Oryzias latipes: one gene and its partners. The protein of the gene in region 2 purifies or fractionates together with the protein of the main gene of each other region. This does not show direct contact. Links are inferred from orthologs where the notes say so. Each region holds a gene or a part of one and is shown on either strand. Other genes may lie near its edges.

Region 1 (6,810 bases), on a different chromosome or scaffold from region 2:
CTTAAGCCAAAAGCTGTCCTTGTTGATTTTAGATTGAAGAATTATTCAAAGAGCATGCTTCCACTTTGAGGCATCTTATCCTATCATCCCACAACTTACCAGAGACAGAAAAGGGGAAAGTGCAGTTGTAGAGGAGTGCCAGCTCGCCAATCGTATCCCCTGGTTCAATTGTCAGCAGCTTGCACCCGTCTTGAGTCACGCTCAATCTTCCTTCTGTCAACATCACACACTTAGTAGGAAAAAGGAGCACATTGATAGTATAGAATCCATGTCGGATAAAAGTAACTGTCAGCTTGATGCGCACTTCATGCACAAAAGATGGTTCAAGTGACAAGACTGAAAGCAGGAGGCAGCTTCCTCTCTGATGAAATCTACGTTCAGTTCATGACCTCTTTTCTCCTGGTATTCTTGTTCATGTTCCCCGTCTTTAAGCGGGAGCTATTTGTGTGCTTTAAACCATAAAGCTGTCATCAAATGCAAAAAAAAAAAAAAACAAGCTGCAAAATGAGTTTTAAAAAGCAGTTGTTGGTGAAAACAAATTATTTTAGCCACTTTCCTCACAAGAAACCTCTAATAAATAATCTTAAGGATGACAGATGGCAGCAATTTACCTTCTAAAATAAAAGCCTGCTCCCCAGCGCTCCCCTCCTGTATGAGAGTGCAGTTTTGATTGATGGAGCAGCGATATGTGCAGGATGTGACAGCTCTCATTTCTCCTTCGTCTAAGTTCTTCAACAGGTCGTTTTTCAAAAGCCCTGCCTGGATCAGGCTTTGAGATCTGATGACACACAGGGATGATAAAGATGCAACACTCCGAGTGTAGCTGTCAATCACCTTAAATGCCGCGCCACAAGCCACAAATGCTGACTCAAAATGCTTGACCATTGAGTGATGCTAAAAAATTTGAAAAGTTGGCCTTCTTAGCTGAAGTTGGAGGAACACAGTGTGCTCTTACTGTTGACTTTTGTCACAGCTTTTGTGTGAAATCCTGGCGAGAGTCACGGGGTCCGGGCTGAAGGGTTCTGAAATGACTGTGTGCTTTTTAGCTCGCTCCATGCCCTCAATTTGAGGAGCTATAAAAAATAATTGAGATTTTTAGGTCACGTCTACAACCTGTACTTTTAAATGATTGACCTACTCTTTACCTGCACTGGGTGAGGGTCCTGAGAGGCAAACAGTGGTCCTGTAACGGTCCAGTTCTTCCTGTAGCCTTCGAATGAGTTCATCCTTTGTATCCAGTTCAAGCTCCAACTCATCTATGAGTGTGTCTCTCTGGCGGAGCTCCTCGATTTTTAGTTGCAGAGCAAACTGGAGGTCCCTCAGTGTACCCATGATCTGCAGGCATCAGCCAGGAAAGCACAAAGATAAACAGCTCGTTGCTATGAGAATAAAAAAGAAATTGTAATTTTTTATTTCACAAACTTAAATATGAAAAATATTATGCATATCTATCTATGTCAAAATGCTGCCTTGCAATTGTAGCACACATTTCCATCCAGGTTAAAGGCAAAAACAATTCATTGTCAAGTGCATCATAAGTTTATCCCACTAAAAAGAATACATTTTCAGAGTAAACAAATTATACTTTTTTTTATTATGTACGTTTTATGTGAAGCTGCAAGGTTTTATGTAGGCTATATAAAAATTGTCAAAAGAGAAAAAAACAATAACAAAGATAAATTGTCTTTATCATCTTAAATTTAATTACACTCAGCCACAGATCCATTGTTTTTTCAACACCTAATTGATGGATGGTACACAAATGCTACTCACCGGTGTAGGTGAGCAGTCCGCCTGGCGTCCTCAAGTGAAGGATGCTGGTCAGGAGGAATGCCCACAGCGCAGACAGGCGGTCACGTGACGCGGGCTCCCTCCAACCACGAGGAGGGGGAACAGAATGACACATGCACAGGCTGGATCCGAACTGGGTCAGAGGAAAGTAGTTCTAATGGGAAAATTTGACACTAAATTTTGCTTTCGGAAAGAAAAAAGAACGAGCATCTGCCCGACTTTGGACATTAAAAAAATGTCAATGCTGTAAACGCATTTTTTGTGAAAATCTTTTTGTGTATTGAACATAAGCAATAGAAGGTGGTCAGGTAATTATGGGTAAATTGTAACAGTAATCTACAGGTGAGTCGGATCCAATTTTCTTTTCAAATTGACAAACACGTTACTATTCAAATGTAATGTAATGACAAAAGTTTATCACCATGTTTTTTGTCTGTCAAAGGAAAAAAAACACCCATGTGTGTACAGGTGTATTGGCACAGTATCCTGCTTAGGAGATCAATTTGGATATCATCGCCTAACCACTTTAGTTCCGATAAACTTTTAATTGAACTTTAATCGTGGTGTCATTTCTTCTTAGCTGCGGTACATCCTTCATGCCAGTAGGCGGCAGCAGCATTACTTGATGTCAGCAACAGAGGCAGTGGCATCGTTGAGAGGAAACAGGAGAAGAAGATGGGACGCTGACGGGACCACAGCCAGTGTGGCTATAACGAGCAAACTTAGTAACCCTTTTGGCTGGACTTTAATCACATTATTGTGTGTTTTTGTTTTTAGTGAGAGTGTTGAAAAATGATTCTTACAGTAAAGCCACTTCAAGGGAAGGAGTGCAGTGTTCAGGTTAGTTAAAAAATCGAACTCCATAATGCTAATTTGCACAATCAGCTAGCCGGGTATATCTGTTAGCCGCTCAGCATCATAAGTTTTTTAAAGTGCTTTGAATAAAGTGAACATAAATTTAATTTATTAGTGACTGTAACTCTAACACTAACCAGTACTAAAGATGCGGTTGTACATATACACACCCGTTTATAGTTCTAAAGCAGCTTTACCGCAGCTAGCATGTTAGCTAATTTAGAAATGCAAGACGAAGAACTCTTTCTGTCTGAATCATTCTCGCTGAGGTCACGCCCAGCAGCTGAGTGGAAGTTGTTGTTACTCCTTACTTGGTGCTAATGCAGTAAAGAGAAGTGAGTAAGGAACCGCGGTGTATTAGAGGACTTTGTTTGGTCAGCGCGTTGAAACAAAAAACGGTGTTGGTATTATTTTACAGTTCAGCAGTTATATTTGCTGCTCCTGGATGTGCCTTTGTGTCAAATCAGTTAAGACATACAGTTGCATGAAAGCAGCATTATGAACCTGCTTCTCTTATCACAAATTTAGAATTGTATATATTTTTCATTTACATAAAGTAATCATTTTAAAACTCCACAGCACTTCATTAACTTTTTTAATTATGTAGTTATATATTCTATTTATAATTTTTTTTAACCAAAACATTTTTTTGGTTTTGTGTTGTTCTTATTTTGAGTACCGTAGTACTTATGATCATGTTTTTTTTCTTTAATGCCAACTTTAAAGTGTAGCGGTAATTACACATTATACATTATATATGGCTGTTCTTCAGATTAAGTCAAACATGTGCACTTAAAATTGGTCATACAAAGCCATTTAAGACATCTATTGAATTAGATTTTAAGCCGAGAATTTTATCCCAGACAAGACAGTGAGTTTTCGGCACATTTCGAAAAAAATACGAAGGCTTTGAATAAACAATATATTTGTAATTGTTTTGAATTATTGTAACAAATGTTTTTGTCTTGAGCTGATAAAACGTTTTCACAATAGGTACTTTGTTACTTTATTACATAAAATGAATTATTTATTTTGCCCGTTTAATACTGTTTTTATGTATTCATTTTTTTTATTATTGCATCCTTAGAACTTGTTTTCCCCGCAGTCTTTCTATACCAGTTGACTCTATTGTTCTTGTTTAAATTACAGTTTAAGAATTTGTTTTTATCCCACAGGTGACAGAAGATGAAAAGGTTTCCACAGTGAAGGAACTTGTTTCTGAGCAACTCAACATACCAGCAAACCAGCAGCGGCTGCTTTACAAAGGAAAGGCACTGGCAGGTAAAATTTGCCTACTACTTTTTTTTCTTTCCTTTATACTTTTGTCAGGTTCATAATTTATCTTTCTGTATGCCCTTTTTTCTTTCAGATGAACACAGACTTAGTGATTATTCCATTGGACCAGAGGCTAAATTGAACCTAGTAATCCGTCCTGCAGGAGAAAGATCTGCAGCCTCAGCAGTGACTGGCTGCAGCAGCAGGAACATGGGAGGACTGTGGCAGACTGTGTCCACTATACTTGCTAGACACTTCAGTCCAGCAGATGCAGCAAAAGTTCATGAACAGCTTATAAAGGTAAGATAAGTTTTTATTCATGGTTTCCCAAAAGTTGTAATGGTTAAAGTTCTGTTACTGCCTTTCAAACCCACTATATAAATTATATTACAAAACGAATGTCTATTTTAACTATTTAAAATAATTTGTCATGTTGTGAGCTTGACAGTTAAGCTCCTCTTTGTTATTACTAAACTTTGTTTTTGTTTGTTTTTAGGACTATGAACGTTCACTTCGACAGCTCAGCCTGGATGACATTGAACGACTAGCAGTGCGATTGCTTCACCCTGACAGCGAGAGCATGGACACCTCCTACATGGACTAGCATTGGAAAACCTAAATCTACTTTGTATGAATAGATTTAGGAGAAACTACATGTTTGGGAAAATAAATGTGAGGCCATTGAGAATACAATGTGTGCCTAATCAGTGATTATTGATATTGCTGACTTGTGTCAGTGACTAATGTTTATCTCAGCAATAGGGCTTTCTCATGTGTGTTTTCTCTTCTATTTTTAATATTGACACCATTTGTTGAAAGACTAGTTTTTTTTGTGTAAAATCAAAACACAAAAACATTGTTTCGTGCTAATGTTGCTTGATTTCTGGCTGCTGCAATTCCAGGCAACACTAACTTCCACTTGAGACTATTTATTATTCATGTCAGCGTTGAATGATGCCTGTTTTTATTTTATTTTTTTCATTTAAACGTGGGATAAAAGAATACACACATCTTTTATTGTTCAGATGGCCATTGTGCGATTTGTAAATATTGTTTATATATGACGACAATAAAAGATCAAGAAATTACTACGTTTTTTTGTTTTTTTTACGTTGTATTGTGAGAAATAGTTGTGTTTTGTGTAAATATTGCCGGTTTGGAAACAAGGAGAAGGAAGACTGAAGAGAATGTCGCAAGGCGGGACATTTTATTTTACCGCTGGGCGAGAACAATTAAGGGAGCCAATGAAGCAATAGCAAGACACGTGATCTATGTTTTTTGACCAATCAGGTGGGTTGCCACCAACGCTCCGCCCCTCTTTCCAAGCATTTGGTCTGTGCTTTATGTTCTGGTTACTTGTAAACCAGCTCCTATAAAATGGTGTATTTTAAACATATTTAGCATAATTTAAAGTATGAAACATAGAATAGTCGGATAGGGGTGGATATATTCGTAAACACTGAAAAGGTAAGAATGTAATATCGGGTTTATTTATTTATTTATGGCCAGTAAGCTAATGTTAGCATGAAGCTAGCAGCACATACTGTACTTCCTGCATTCATCCAGCGAGCGTTAGCAGATAACATTTATTACCTCGGACTTTGTCGATAACAAATGTCTAAAATGTACGTGCTGTCACCTTTGCTACCGGCAATCAATAGTTAATTTTAAATTTCAAATCCCTTCAAGCTAGTAAGTAGTACATTGTATCCGATGTTGGTCGAGTTGAGGCGTTGAGTCCTCTCATCATGATCATCAGGACCACTTCTCCCTGGAGAAAAGCCTTAGTAGGATAGCAACGCGCCACAGAGGAGGAAAACTGAAGATCCTGTTCCTTAGAGCTAAGCCTAAGGTTATCAATTAAACATGTTAGAGATGGTTGCATCCATGAAGCAAACAGCCTTGTTTCTCGTTGTTGAGTGTCTTGATGTTTCTGTTCACATCCCTCATGTGTTCACCAACAGTAGGAGAGACGACTGGAAAGATGGAAACTTTGATTCCCACCATCAACCGGCTGCAAGAGGTCTTTCAGACGGTCGGGACAGAGATCATACAGCTGCCTCAGATAGTCGTGGTTGGGACTCAGGTCAGTGGATGGAAACCAGAATTGGAAAACTGAGTGAAAACAATGTTGTGTTTGTACACTTATCTTGTCTTGATTATTGGATAATCATCCAGAGTAGATGTATACTAAAGTATGGTTTCACCCAGTTCAGGGTTCTAGTTAAAAAGTTCTTTTTAAATTAAAAATAGATGATGTCCTGTTATTACTCATGTGCTGTCGTTGTTTTTATAACAGAGCAGTGGAAAAAGCTCAGTGCTAGAGAGCCTGGTCGGAAGGGATTTTTTGCCTCGGGGATCTGGAATAGTCACAAGACGACCCCTTGTGTTGCAGCTCGTCAATGTTGCTCCACAACAGGAAAGGCTGAAGAATGAGCATGGTAAACAGATTATGACTCAATGATAACTCAATTCGATGTAAAACACTTAGGCTTATAATTCTCTCACAGCATTGAGTTATGTTGAAATCTTTCTATGCACTTCTCTCTGTCACTTGGTTTTGATACAGGGTTTTTCTGAACTAACACATTTTCTTCCTCTTTTTCTTTACTACTTTTTAGGAAATGGGCTTAAACAAAATATTCAAAACAGCTACACAGGTCACTATATTTGATCTGCATGAGAAAAAGTTTCTACTTCTTCATGTTTACCATTAACCGTCTCACTCATTTAGTTAATTCAGTTTATTTTCATTATGTTTTTGCCAAATCCTTTTTTTTAAATTCATATTCCATTCTTTTATACTTTAATTCTTCATCCCTGACACTTTTATGCTCTTATTTTCTATTCAGGTGTCAAAGCTGAAGAATGGGGCACATTTCTGCATTG
Region 2 (4,913 bases):
CAATGTGGATGAACAGAAACAACTTTCATTTAACCATTGAAATGTATGCGATGCAGCAGCCTGTTAATGAGGAATAACACATGGTGGCTCATGGGAGTTGGCTCTGCTGCTACTTCAGCAGCTGATTAGTTCAATGCTGCAACACTGAATGAGAAGGAAGAACAAGAGTTAACCGGTATCTAGTACGGATGATAAAGAAGCTTTCTGCACAGAAACAAAGATGAGCTCGGGTAAGGACTTCCAAGAGATATATTTATTTGAAAAAATTCAAGACTTTCCAGGCTATTGGGAACCCTGTCAACCAAACAAGCACTGAATGCAGGGGTGGTTCAACTCTCCAGGTCAAGCTCAATGATCCCTTATGCATAATGGCCATTTAACACAATATGAAAAAGAGGAGGGGAGGAAGATGAGTGGCTGTCAGAGGAGAAATCGGTTTCCACAGAGGGAGGTGGTACCATCTATCAATCGTCCGTAAGGTCTTGAACAAAAAGTACCTCCGAGCGGCTGAGCCCAGCCTCTTTTAGTGAGGGGGGGTTGGGTTGTTCTTCAGTGGGGAGGCAGGGCAAGACTCGACGAGGGAAGTTTGTGACTATCTGAAACTTCTCTGGCGTTTCTTTCAAAGAGAACAGGAAGTCGTGTATTACCTGTGGAAGATAAATCAGTCAATCATAGATGCATCAGCGTACGTGTAAGGTGCTTCTGGAAAAACATTATTTATTGGGGAAAAACTCAATGCTTTTTAGAGTTTTACTTAAGCTATCTCTAACATAACTTTGTTTAAAACCTTTTTAAAAATCAAAGTTAGTTAAACCAAAGAAGAAAATCTTAATGCATTTTAGAATTCACCAAACAGAAATCTGATTTCAACCGTTACTGACCGTCAGAGATTGGCCAAACAGGAATCGCCGTTCCACCCGTGTGTCATTGGGCAGCTTGAACACTATTTTGACACTTTCTGGATCATCTGCAGGAGGCTCCAATGGAAGACATTCAGACTTCCTCTCCTTCTCCTCCTCCAGGTTCTGAAATCCAAAAGCGTGCCATTTAATTGAGAACGTTTTACATGGCGAGAACATTGTTCTTATCTAAAGAAAGCAATAGTCACCCTCCGTCTCCGCTCCTCAGCAAGAGCACTCTGCCGGACCTTCTCTTCCTCTTGCCTTCGCTGCTCCAGCTCCTCCCTTTTCTTTCTCTCCTTTTCCTGGTCGGCACGGAGGGAGACGAGATAAGCCTCGTCTTGCTGCTGCCTCAAAACTTGGGTCTGGTTTCTCTCCTCACTATAAACCAAAATATTTATTTAAGTTAATTAATAAAATTAATTAAAAATTAATTAAATTAATTAAATTAATTAATTAAAAATTAATATGTGTTGTTTATTATCCCAGTAAATGCTTATTAAACACGGAGTATATAGGTATTTAAAGCAACGATAAGACCATTATAAAACGACTTTGATGATGATTTGAACGTGATGTCTAACTCACAAGAGGAGAGACCTGGCTTCAGACACGATGCCACCTGACACCATCAGCCAGGAGCAGAAATTATACAACTTACTCTAACCCAAAAGTGTTCAGAAATGTGTTAAAAAAGAGAAAAAGAACTTATATAAAACCATAAAAAACAAAAACCATAACTGTTGCAGTCCCCCTATATCGAGCGATATGCGGGGACTTATGGGTCTAGTTAAGGACCACCTGACCCTCTTTGTTAACTTTTTGCACAGAAACTGAATGAAAAATCTCACATTTTCTCTAATTCTCAAATTTTCTTTTTCATATCGTGTTAAATGAAAATGAATTTCACAGTACACGTCTATTTTGGTAGCATTAACCGATACCATGTGGTGGTTTTAACCCAGAAGATCTACACCACAACTTTCTATAATAAAAGCAACCATTTCTTTTAGAACATTGAGCTTCAACAGAAACGTCATCCAACTCTCTATAAATGTCCATGTTGCAACTAAAACGTCATCTCAACTCCAACTGTTGTTTAGTGGCTGTGCATTAGTGTGCAGTGCCTGTCTGCACCGCTTTGACTCACATGAGCATCACACATTTTACAATGAGTTTAATGTGCTTAATGCACATTAAATAAAATAAGAAAAAGGCTTTAACCCACATATTTGTTTCAGATCGTTGATACACTAGTGATCAATTTAATTTTTAAGATCAAATATAAACAAAATCGATTTCCTGTTAAGATATTAAAAAAGATCCCGTTTCACACACCGTTCAAGGCGCTCTGACATCAGATATGTTTGGTTGGCATCCATGATGAAGGTGAGCTGATTGATGAAGTCTTCTGGCTGAATGAGACCCTCCAGTCTGCCCACCACAGTCATCCTGCGGTCCTTGAGCATGATCATGGCCAGGAATGGATAGGTGTTCTCCCGCAAAGCTTGGGACACTTCAACCACAACATTCAAACCAGACACTCAAGTACTTTTGTTGGAGCAGAAGCGGGATGCTACTAATTCATAATAAAACATTTTCCTTTTGGATATATTTGTGCCACTCCAAGGTCTGAGTTAAATGGCTATGCAGATTTAATAAGCTATATTTTTTTATAAATTAAAAATATTTAAGATAAAAAGCAGCATCTTTGAAATTATTATATAAAACAGTACCTTTAGAAACATTATTTTACAACACCAGAGTAAAAATTACTTTGTACTAAAATATGAATGTCAATGATGCAGATTTCCTTATTAAAAATAACCCTGTCTTGGTAATTAAATATGGATAAATTGCATTAGAAAGAACCTTATTTTATCAAACATGAACTTGATGTTCAGAACAACGAGTGACATTTTACAAAAGTATTTGACTGACGGCATAAAAAGGACAAACCTCTGTAGCCTTCAGGCTTGCTGGTTGAACATGCCCAAAACAGCATTTGTGTGTTGAGGAAGGTTATGACTTCTTCTGTACATAACGTCGAACTAAAAAGGGAAACAGTAGATAACAAAACAAATACTTCTTTAGTCTGGATATATTATCCCAAAGCAGCTAGCTATACATTTTTTTATACAGATGTTAAATTCAATAAATGGATAGAGCTGTAGATTGTTACTTAAGCCATCTGAAATCAAACCCAAATTCTCACTATTTTCCATAAACATTCAGTGAGTATTGTGGACTTTCTTTAACTGAAGGCTACCAACAATTTTGCCCACCACTGAATATCTTTGCAATGGATGAATTAGAAGTGAAATAGTATGTATTTAATCATCATCATCTATACCTTTATCTTAAAGAGGAGACCAGGCTAAATGAAAAATAAAATATAAAAACACTAAGAAAGAAATGATCACTTTAAACAGTGTCACCCTCAAAAGTTCTTCGGTGAACTTCCTGGTTGACTTCTGCAGTAAACAAAACAAATGTCACAGCTGTTTGTGCCATTTTACAACAAACTACTGAAAATGTCCTCCACAGATTTTCAAACCTCAAATTTTAGCTGACTATAATTACAGTAAATAAATTACGAAAAGACACAGCAATACCTAAATAAAAGCAACTCTGTAGCAACAAGAAAACAGTCCTTTGATCTAAACTGACAAAGTGTCTCCAGACAGAAGAACACAAGCCCCGCATAACAAAACTGCGTTTACTCTGTCTCGCCATTGTCTGTTGTTCTGCATTTGGGTTTCCGGCTGTAATTACTGGATTCTTTTGCTGGTTCGCTGTGTTAAGCCTTGTTCTGTAATGTTCAATCGAGAAAACAAAAAAAAACTTAAAAGGAAATTGATACAATTTTCATAATATTCTAAAATTCCTATTCATCTTTATTTTTATTAATATATTTCAAACAAATTTATTTTTTTCAGAACACATATTAGTAAACTGAACTTCAGTCTTTTTTTTTTATCTAAGTCATTAGAAAATAAGAACCTTCACCGACACTTTACTCTGAAATTTCATTTACTTCCCTAACAGTTGCACATTCAGTTTGTTTAGTATATAAACTGAAAATTTGTAATTTAATAGCATCTTTGAGCAGTAATTACATGGTCTGAAGTGTATTTTCACTACATTTCATAGTAAAAATACACTTCAGACAACATAATTAGATTTTTGGTATTTGGAAGATCATAATTCGGAAATCTCTGACATCACATTGTAGTTGCATTTTCGGGAACAGATTGTAAATATTCGAGTATTCAGATACTCGTAACAGCTCTATTGGGCTAATATATCAACAGTCTTTGAATGAGTGCTACATATTCAGGAGTCCAGATGGCCACAACACAAAGATGATTACTATACCGGCAAAACTCGTCTGTGTCTTGATGGTCGTCTCCATGAAGATACACTAACAGGTAGCGGAGTTCCCGTTTGGCATCATTCAGTGCCTGCAAAGCAAACACAAACAGACAACACAAACGTGCTCAGTTTCTATGCCATTCCATCTATCCGCTTCTGTTAAATGTGTTTCTATTCTCTCCAACTATCTTTTCACCTGGCTGTAGGTCCCCTGGTAAAACACAGGATGTGACCGGCCATACTTCTCTTCAAAACTTTGAATAAAAGACACCACATCTCCAACAGGGTCTGTCACGCGACCGCGAGGATCTGGCCTAATGAACCGTAGGGCAAACCTTGAAAATAAAGGGGAGGACACATGTGAAACTCTATTGCTTTAATGCATAAATGAGCAAAAGTACCTTAAGCAGATGTGATTCAATTACCTGAATATGTCCAGGAGTGTGTAATATGTAAATCTGAAGGGGAGCATTATCAAGTAGTAACTCCATCCTAGTAATCCCTGCAAAATAGCATTTAATAGCAATTAATAATAAATAAATAAAAACTGAACAGCAACACACAATGACAAATCAAAAGAAAAACAGAGACGACTTCTAGAAAAACAACAGTGCCATAGTTTCAAAGACCATACATATC
Region 3 (6,872 bases), on a different chromosome or scaffold from region 2:
AATTATTATTTAAACAAAATCAAAAGATTTGAGTTTTCCCCTTAAACTGTCTGCTCAATCAAATGGTAGAGCACATTCAGAAAATGTATATTTTTAAAAAACATTTTGAGTATTATTCCCCTTAGTTCAGGGGTCTGTCACCTGACTTCCTTTTGGTTCATTGGATTTACACATTTCTGGGTGAGACGCACCACAAAAACAAACTATGCTTTTTCTTTCCTTTTATTTTATTATTTTTTTAAATCAATGCTGACATTACACTACCTACTACATTTGCTGCATTGAGAGGATCCTTTGTGACACTGGGTGTGTTTTATTTCAAAAGGAAGTCATGTAAACCTATGTCAAAATGTATCAACTAGTTTATTTTTTGAAAAAGTCTATTTTCTCTTTGCCAAACAACAATTCATGTGCAAGTATCATAACAGAAATACAAATCTATAAGAAGAAATAAAATTTTGTGTCTCCTACAAGGTTTTGGTCAAAGAGAAATCCACCCAAATGGCTCTTTTAAGTGTTGAAGGTTGCAGGCAATATGTAGCAGGAAAAAAAATCATTTTTTATTGATTTTGTCTTGGTGGGTAGCTAATGGGTTAAATACATCAACCATAGCAATCATGTCGGATGGGTTACGTATCATTTTTGGCACCAAGCTTCTGAAATGAGAGCTTCTTCTGCTTTTCCAGGGAGGATACAGTCATCAGAAGGCCCCCAAAGAGGAACATGAAGACAAAGTCAGCCGTTCGTCCCCTGAAGGAGCCTTCCTCCAGCATCCGGCAGTATCTGTAGCTGAGGGCAGACTGTTAAGGAAGCCCGCACACAAAGTCTCCACATTAAGCACATGTTTGGAATGATTGCAAGCAGCAGCATGTTCAGAATATAATTCATCTGAAAGTCATTAAAACATTTACTGTAAAAGGGCTGGCAGAATGAACACACATGACTGCTGCATCAAAATAAGGAAAAGGTTCGTTTTTCACACCCCGAGCGAAAAAAATACAAGATTTCAAGGATCCCTTTAAACTCCAAGTGATCTGATCTCTCTGTCAAACTGGTTCATTAAACACTGGCTGTCTGAAACTGAAACATGCAAAACGTCTTCCGCTCAACCAAGAAGGATACAGAAAAATCATATTAAACAGGAAATTGAAGCCAACTGGACCAAAAAACAGGAAGTTCGTTATTAGCCGCCATACCTAAAAAAAAAAAAGAAAAAAAGAAAAGGACATCCATACGTAAACTGCATGGAACCAAAGAAGCAGACGGCGTGCAGGGAACGCCCTGAGAGTCAGCCGGCTCACCTGGTAATTCCTCAGAATCAAATCTGGATTGAAGTAGAGCTGAAAAGGTGTGATGATCTCCAGTTGCTGCAGCGGGAACAAATAAACATCAAGTCAGGGGAAACATCTCAACTCTTGGATATTTTCGGTTCGATATCAAAAAACAACAACAAATGACTAAAAGTACAGAGAAATCCTTTTAATTTGCTAATAAGCAAATTTGAATGAAGAAAACCCTCTAGTGGTCTCATACCAAGCCTGGTGTAACATAATAAAGCAATATTAAATATATCTAATTTATCATAGCCCATGTTTGACACTTTCAACATAAAAACATGCAAACATACGCAGTAGGGACGTCAGGGATGATTCACTTTCTCCTAAATATGGTTGAAAGGTGTAACACACTGTTTGGTTTCAAACTAAGAATTGTGGCATCCCTACTGTTCCTGCCAATTCATAAGAATCTGTCTACCGGTAGTTGTTTGGTTAAGTGTGTAGCAGTCATTACTGTGGGTGGCATTTTTACCACAGACTGATGTTGTTGAGTGTAGTGGCGGGTGTGACTGCACGTGCAAACCGGTACTTTCCTGAAAACTTGCTTTCGTTTTAAATGTATTCGATTTTGTTTTACATTTATTATAAAGCTCTACTACTAGAAAATTCAAAAATCATCCTACATCAAAGAGGCAGCCAGCAGTGAAACCCTATGACCCTTTGACCTTCTGTCCTGAACCCAGTTATATCTACAAAAGTATAGTTTGTCACTTTGAAATGAGTTCCTCCTTTTAAATAAAACAGAGAATGCAAAGAAGTCTGGACACTGGACATCATTTCTGCAGAGCAGTGGGAGTTCATCAGAAATTCTTCTCCGACGCTTGGCGTAGAGCAACCTCACTTCCCATCATCCATCTGTTTACACGCTGTCCCGCTAGCTTAGAGCCCCTCACAGCCCAAAGCTAACATTAGCGGTGCAAGGAAAATGGCGAGGAAAATTGGAGCTTGCCAGCAGTACAGTTTCGAGGCAGATGCAGCTCAGACGTACACGGATCTATTTGTCTGCAAGTGAATGCATCACAATGGAGCGGAGCAGGGAGCTTGTGGCCCACCCAGCATATTTTCTTTGTCACAAATAAGCTCTTTTTCAAACTGCATTTTTTCATCTGCTTCTGATTCACAACAATTTGAATCAAGAAAAACTCAGAAACGCAAGCCAATCAGCTTTCACTGAGTTGCACAGGTGGTTTGACAGAGAGTTTTATGCTGGATGCCCTTCCCGACACAGGCAGGCGGGCTGGGGACCGACACAGGCAGACCGACACAGGCAGACCTAGGCTCAAGCCCCCTTGTGGGTACATGGTTAGGCAGTAATGTGAAGGGTCTTGCCCAAGGACCCCCTCTAGATGAAGCTCACCATGGCCCCTGGGAAACGAACCCTGGTTTCCCAAGCATCAGTCCTGCATGCAGGCAGCTGAGCCATCCAGCCGCTTACTATTGCAACAGTTAGTGCTGGTAAATGTTAAGAACACATTTTTAGACATAGAGGAGCTGCTTTTTTGACCCAGCTGCAATAAAACAACATTTTTTAATTCCCAACTGGAGAAAAAGGCAAACGGTCACATTCACAATCCCTTTATTTCATTTCAGCTGCACTTTTGCTAATTTCCTTTAACATTTTTCTCTTGTTTCAACACACCATTTCCCGGCAACAAAAACAAAAGTATGTGGAGAGTGTGTGGCTTTTAAACTGAGTAGAAGAGTCCGATTAGTCATTTTCGTGCCTGTTTTGGTGAAAGTGTTGTTGCACAAATGTGTCCAAAGTTTATCGCTATTATAAACGTAGTTTTTCCCATAAACCCCGGTGTCTGTCAGACACCAGCTGTGATCATAGCACAGCAAGAAGTTGTACTTTTCAGTGATTTACAAGCGGAAATAAGATTTATCCAAATCGTTTAATGGAAGCTGTATCAGCCGTATCAGCTGGTGTCAACCCAGAAGTGCGGTTCCCCTGGAGGGATGCCGGTCCATCACAGGCCCCCTGACAGAGAGCTTTCTCATCATGCTGTGTGTGACAGTCCTCCTCCAGCGAACCTGAAGACATTCAATCTGAAGTGGATCAAAAAGCGGCGCCCGCATCCCCCTGCAGTCTAAAGCAGACGGGGAGGAAATCTTTCCCTTCCTTATGCAGAGAAAGTCAGGTTGCTCTGTGTTGCATCACCTGATCGGGACTGATATTTAAAAGAAAAATAATAAGAAAAGCTGGGTTCTCTCTCCTGGCACATGTTTTTCTGTAATTAAACACTTGCTTAACATTTTTCCACATCAATCCATCATCACTGAGGCTCTCTGGGATTTTTGAAGAAGCTCTCCTCATCATTCACACCCTCTGTAATGCTACAGTTTAGAGATCAGCATCACTAATGTGTCCCAATGATGCTGAAACAGAAACATCACCTCAGAGACCAACTTCTGTGACGTGAAGCTGACATGAAGACAAGTTTAAGCCTCGTTTCTAAAAAAAAAAAAAAGATGACGGTCCGCCTCATCCCAGCCTTTATTTTGAAGCTTCGCGTTCGCTTCCTGTCATCCCAGCAGGCCACTAAAGGGAACCAGTAAGTTCCAAATGTTAACTGTTTTGACCTGGTTCGGCAACGAAAGCAGGGGGAGATGGGAAATAACCCAGGTTTTCGGGGCGCCTTGTCACCCAATCCGCGCACTCACTCCCGTACACGAACAGACGTGCTAATGCTACACGTTTGATGATCTGAAAACGACCGTTTTGTCACCTAAACCGCCACCGCAGGATGGCCCCGTTTCCATGTTTCTATACGGGAGCAGAGCTGGGCATCATCATGACAACACGTCACGGCTCCCTGACAGAGCGGTTGGAGCCAAACCAGAACCGTATCCTGGTACCGAGCAACGGAGGTCCCTGAACGGGTCTTACCACTGCAGCAGTCGTGAGGACGCAGGCCGTGGTGTAAGCTCTGGTGACGATAGGAATCTGTAAATACTCCTGCTGCAAGGTCTGGTAAGCCATCTTGGACAGACTGAACGCTTCCGGCACGGCGCTGACACGTCATTCTACACCGTGAGGCGTTCAAAACCGTAGGACAAATGTTCAGACCTCCGTCCCGCTCTTTGGCAGTAACCCCTTACGTCACGTTTCCGCTCTAGAACTTTCCATGTTACTCTCTGAGTTTTGTACATTACCTTTATGGAATTTAATTTTCTTAGTTCTACTTATTATTCTTATTATTATTATTTAGAAAACGTAAACAGTCGGTAAAGAGCAATGAACAATGTAAACACATTGGAACAGAACCAGGGGGAATTACTAACACTCAAACCAACCATGACTTCTAACATGTATTGTACATAAACAGACTATTTTTCATACATTTTTGATAGATGTCTCTCATATATGGTTAATATAGAAAGTGAAATAATTATAAAACTATACTAATCAGATTTCTGGTTACTGTAATTACATTTGTGAATGGGATATTTTGCTGCTATGATAAAAAAAAATTCAGTATGAATTTAGAATCTTCTTTTAACTTCTTTCAAAAGAAACCAAATAAAATGTTTACCCATTTTTCAAAGAAAGGTCCTTATGATGAACTCATTTTTCCAAAAAATTATTGAACGTGAGCCGATCAATGAAGTGATAAATTGTCTCTGGGTGATCTCCAAAATAAGGAACTATTAGTATCAGAGGCGATCCTGGCTACTTTGGCGCCTTGGGTGAAACACTGGACAGTGTCCCCCTTTCCAGCCCCGCCCTCAATGGGGAACAGAGATCAATTCTTTAAAATATAGTGTGCCATAACTATTTTTGTTGCTATATCACTACTGTGGTCTAAAAACATATTTTCCCAACTTCAAATTATACTGGATTATTAAAATAACCAGTTGAGTAAGATATGGAGGCCATCCGCCAGCAGTGGCGTGATAGGCTGATGATGATGATTAAAAGAAAAAAGAACAGGAAGGAATTGTATACACTTTTAAGAAGCATAATGATGCCTGACAGAATGACATAAAGATTATGGCATATTTCTTTGCTGTGACTGCCAGCTGAAAAGGGTTTAGCAAATTGGATAAATATATTAATTGTCCATTTTTTAATAATAAGGGCTGCAGGGTTACAGAACCATAGCATTCTCTTTACTTAGCAGAAAAACAAGCCAAACAAATGCGTTTTAAAGCTCAGTGACACAGTGTCTCTGTTTGGTGTTAAAGGTTCATAAATCTGAGAAATTTAGGAGATGACAGAGGACTTTGGTATGATCCTCTCTGGCTGGGTAATTACAGATTCATAAAATATCAATAAACATTTTCAAAATAAAAGGACCAAGAGCTGTAACCATCACTTTGCTAAACAGGAAGTATGGTCTAAAGTTTGTTTTTAAGCTCTACAGAACATCAGTGTGTGTGTTATATGTAAACATGCAAATAGCTGCATGGGTGTTTCAACAAAAAGATATTAAGACCTCTGGGTGAGTACTTGGTGAAATATTGTTATAGAAAAGCAGTGATGGAGCTAGAACATTTTATGTAGGTGGGGCCGACATGACTTGTTTGTTATCATAAAGCACTGCATGGTAACAGACTCGGCAAGAAAGACACACAGTCACTGGCCACTTTATTAGGTACACCCTGCTAGTACCAGGTTGGACTCCCTTTTGCCTTCAGAACTGCTTAAATCATCGGTGGCATAGATTTAACAAGGTACTGGAAAGATTCTTCAGAGGGTTTGGTCCATATTGACATGACAGCATCATGCTGCAGATTCGTTGGCCGAACATTCATGATGCTAATCTCCCGTTTCCACCACATCCCAAAGGTACTCTGTTGGATTGAGATCTGGTGACAGTGGTGACCATTTGAGTCCAGTGAACTCATTGTCATGTTCAAGAAACCAGCCTGAGATGATTCCAGCTTCATTACATGGCACCTTATCCTGTTGGAAGTAGCCTTCAGAAGATGGTACACTGTGGTCAGAAAGGGATGGACATGGTCAGCAACAATACTCAGGTAGGCTGTGGCATTGGACCCATGCTCAACTGGTACTAAGAGGCCCAAAGTGTGCACAGAATGTCCCCCACACCATTACACCACCACCACCAGCCTGAACCATTGATACAAGGCAGGATTGATCCATAGTGTTGTCGATGCCAAATTCTGACCCTAACATCTGAAGCGAAATGGAGACCCATCAGACCAGACAATGTTTTTATAATCTTCTATTGTCCAGTTTTGGTGAGTCTGTGTGAATTGTAGCCTCAGTTTCCTGTTCTTGGATGACAGGAGTGCCAGGAGTGTTGTGTGTTCAGAGATGCTCTTCTGCAGACCTTGGTTGTGACCAGTGGTCATTTTAATTACTGTTGCCGTTCTATCAACTGAAACCAGTCTGGACATTCTCCTCTGAACTCTGGCATCAACAAGGCATTTCCACCCACAGAACTGCCGCTCACTGGATATTTTGTGTTTTTCTTATCATTCTCTGTAAACCCTAGAGATGGTTGTTGGTGAAAATCCCAGTAGATCAGCAGTTTCTCCACCAGATGCACTGGCTTCCCATAACCT

Evidence for each region. The genes of interacting proteins can lie anywhere in the genome.
Region 1: the proteins of faf2 (region 2) and ubl4a purify together in Homo sapiens (affinity purification with mass spectrometry; 3 studies listed by BioGRID and IntAct, with this or other methods). This does not show direct contact. The link is inferred for Oryzias latipes from reciprocal best matches to the Homo sapiens genes FAF2 and UBL4A.
Region 3: the proteins of faf2 (region 2) and derl2 purify together in Homo sapiens (affinity purification with mass spectrometry; 5 studies listed by BioGRID and IntAct, counting the BioPlex papers as one, with this or other methods). This does not show direct contact. The link is inferred for Oryzias latipes from reciprocal best matches to the Homo sapiens genes FAF2 and DERL2.

Annotation. Positions count from the first base shown.
Region 1 is NC_019867.2:16,993,993-17,000,802, forward strand, and holds ubl4a (ubiquitin-like protein 4A), read left to right. Parts: upstream 1-2,435; 5' UTR 2,436-2,583; coding exon 2,584-2,631; intron 2,632-3,821; coding exon 3,822-3,927; intron 3,928-4,015; coding exon 4,016-4,221; intron 4,222-4,417; coding exon 4,418-4,525; 3' UTR 4,526-5,009; downstream 5,010-6,810. Other genes in the region: cGMP-dependent protein kinase 1-like, read right to left, coding at 100-213, 612-778, 956-1,073, 1,146-1,332; dynamin-1-like protein, read left to right, coding at 5,906-6,007, 6,221-6,362, 6,543-6,581, 6,774-6,810. UniProt on the Homo sapiens protein: As part of a cytosolic protein quality control complex, the BAG6/BAT3 complex, maintains misfolded and hydrophobic patches-containing proteins in a soluble state and participates in their proper delivery to the endoplasmic reticulum or alternatively can promote their sorting to the proteasome where they undergo degradation.
Region 2 is NC_019868.2:20,363,460-20,368,372, forward strand, and holds part of faf2 (FAS-associated factor 2), read right to left. Parts: intron 4,777-4,913; coding exon 4,700-4,776; intron 4,610-4,699; coding exon 4,471-4,609; intron 4,364-4,470; coding exon 4,278-4,363; intron 2,951-4,277; coding exon 2,859-2,950; intron 2,416-2,858; coding exon 2,238-2,415; intron 1,281-2,237; coding exon 1,109-1,280; intron 1,026-1,108; coding exon 882-1,025; intron 648-881; coding exon 465-647; 3' UTR 1-464. UniProt on the Homo sapiens protein: Plays an important role in endoplasmic reticulum-associated degradation (ERAD) that mediates ubiquitin-dependent degradation of misfolded endoplasmic reticulum proteins.
Region 3 is NC_019870.2:24,448,502-24,455,373, forward strand, and holds the start of derl2 (derlin-2), read right to left. Parts: upstream 4,376-6,872; 5' UTR 4,321-4,375; coding exon 4,228-4,320; intron 1,368-4,227; coding exon 1,302-1,367; intron 1,197-1,301; coding exon 1,123-1,196; intron 790-1,122; coding exon 696-789; intron 1-695.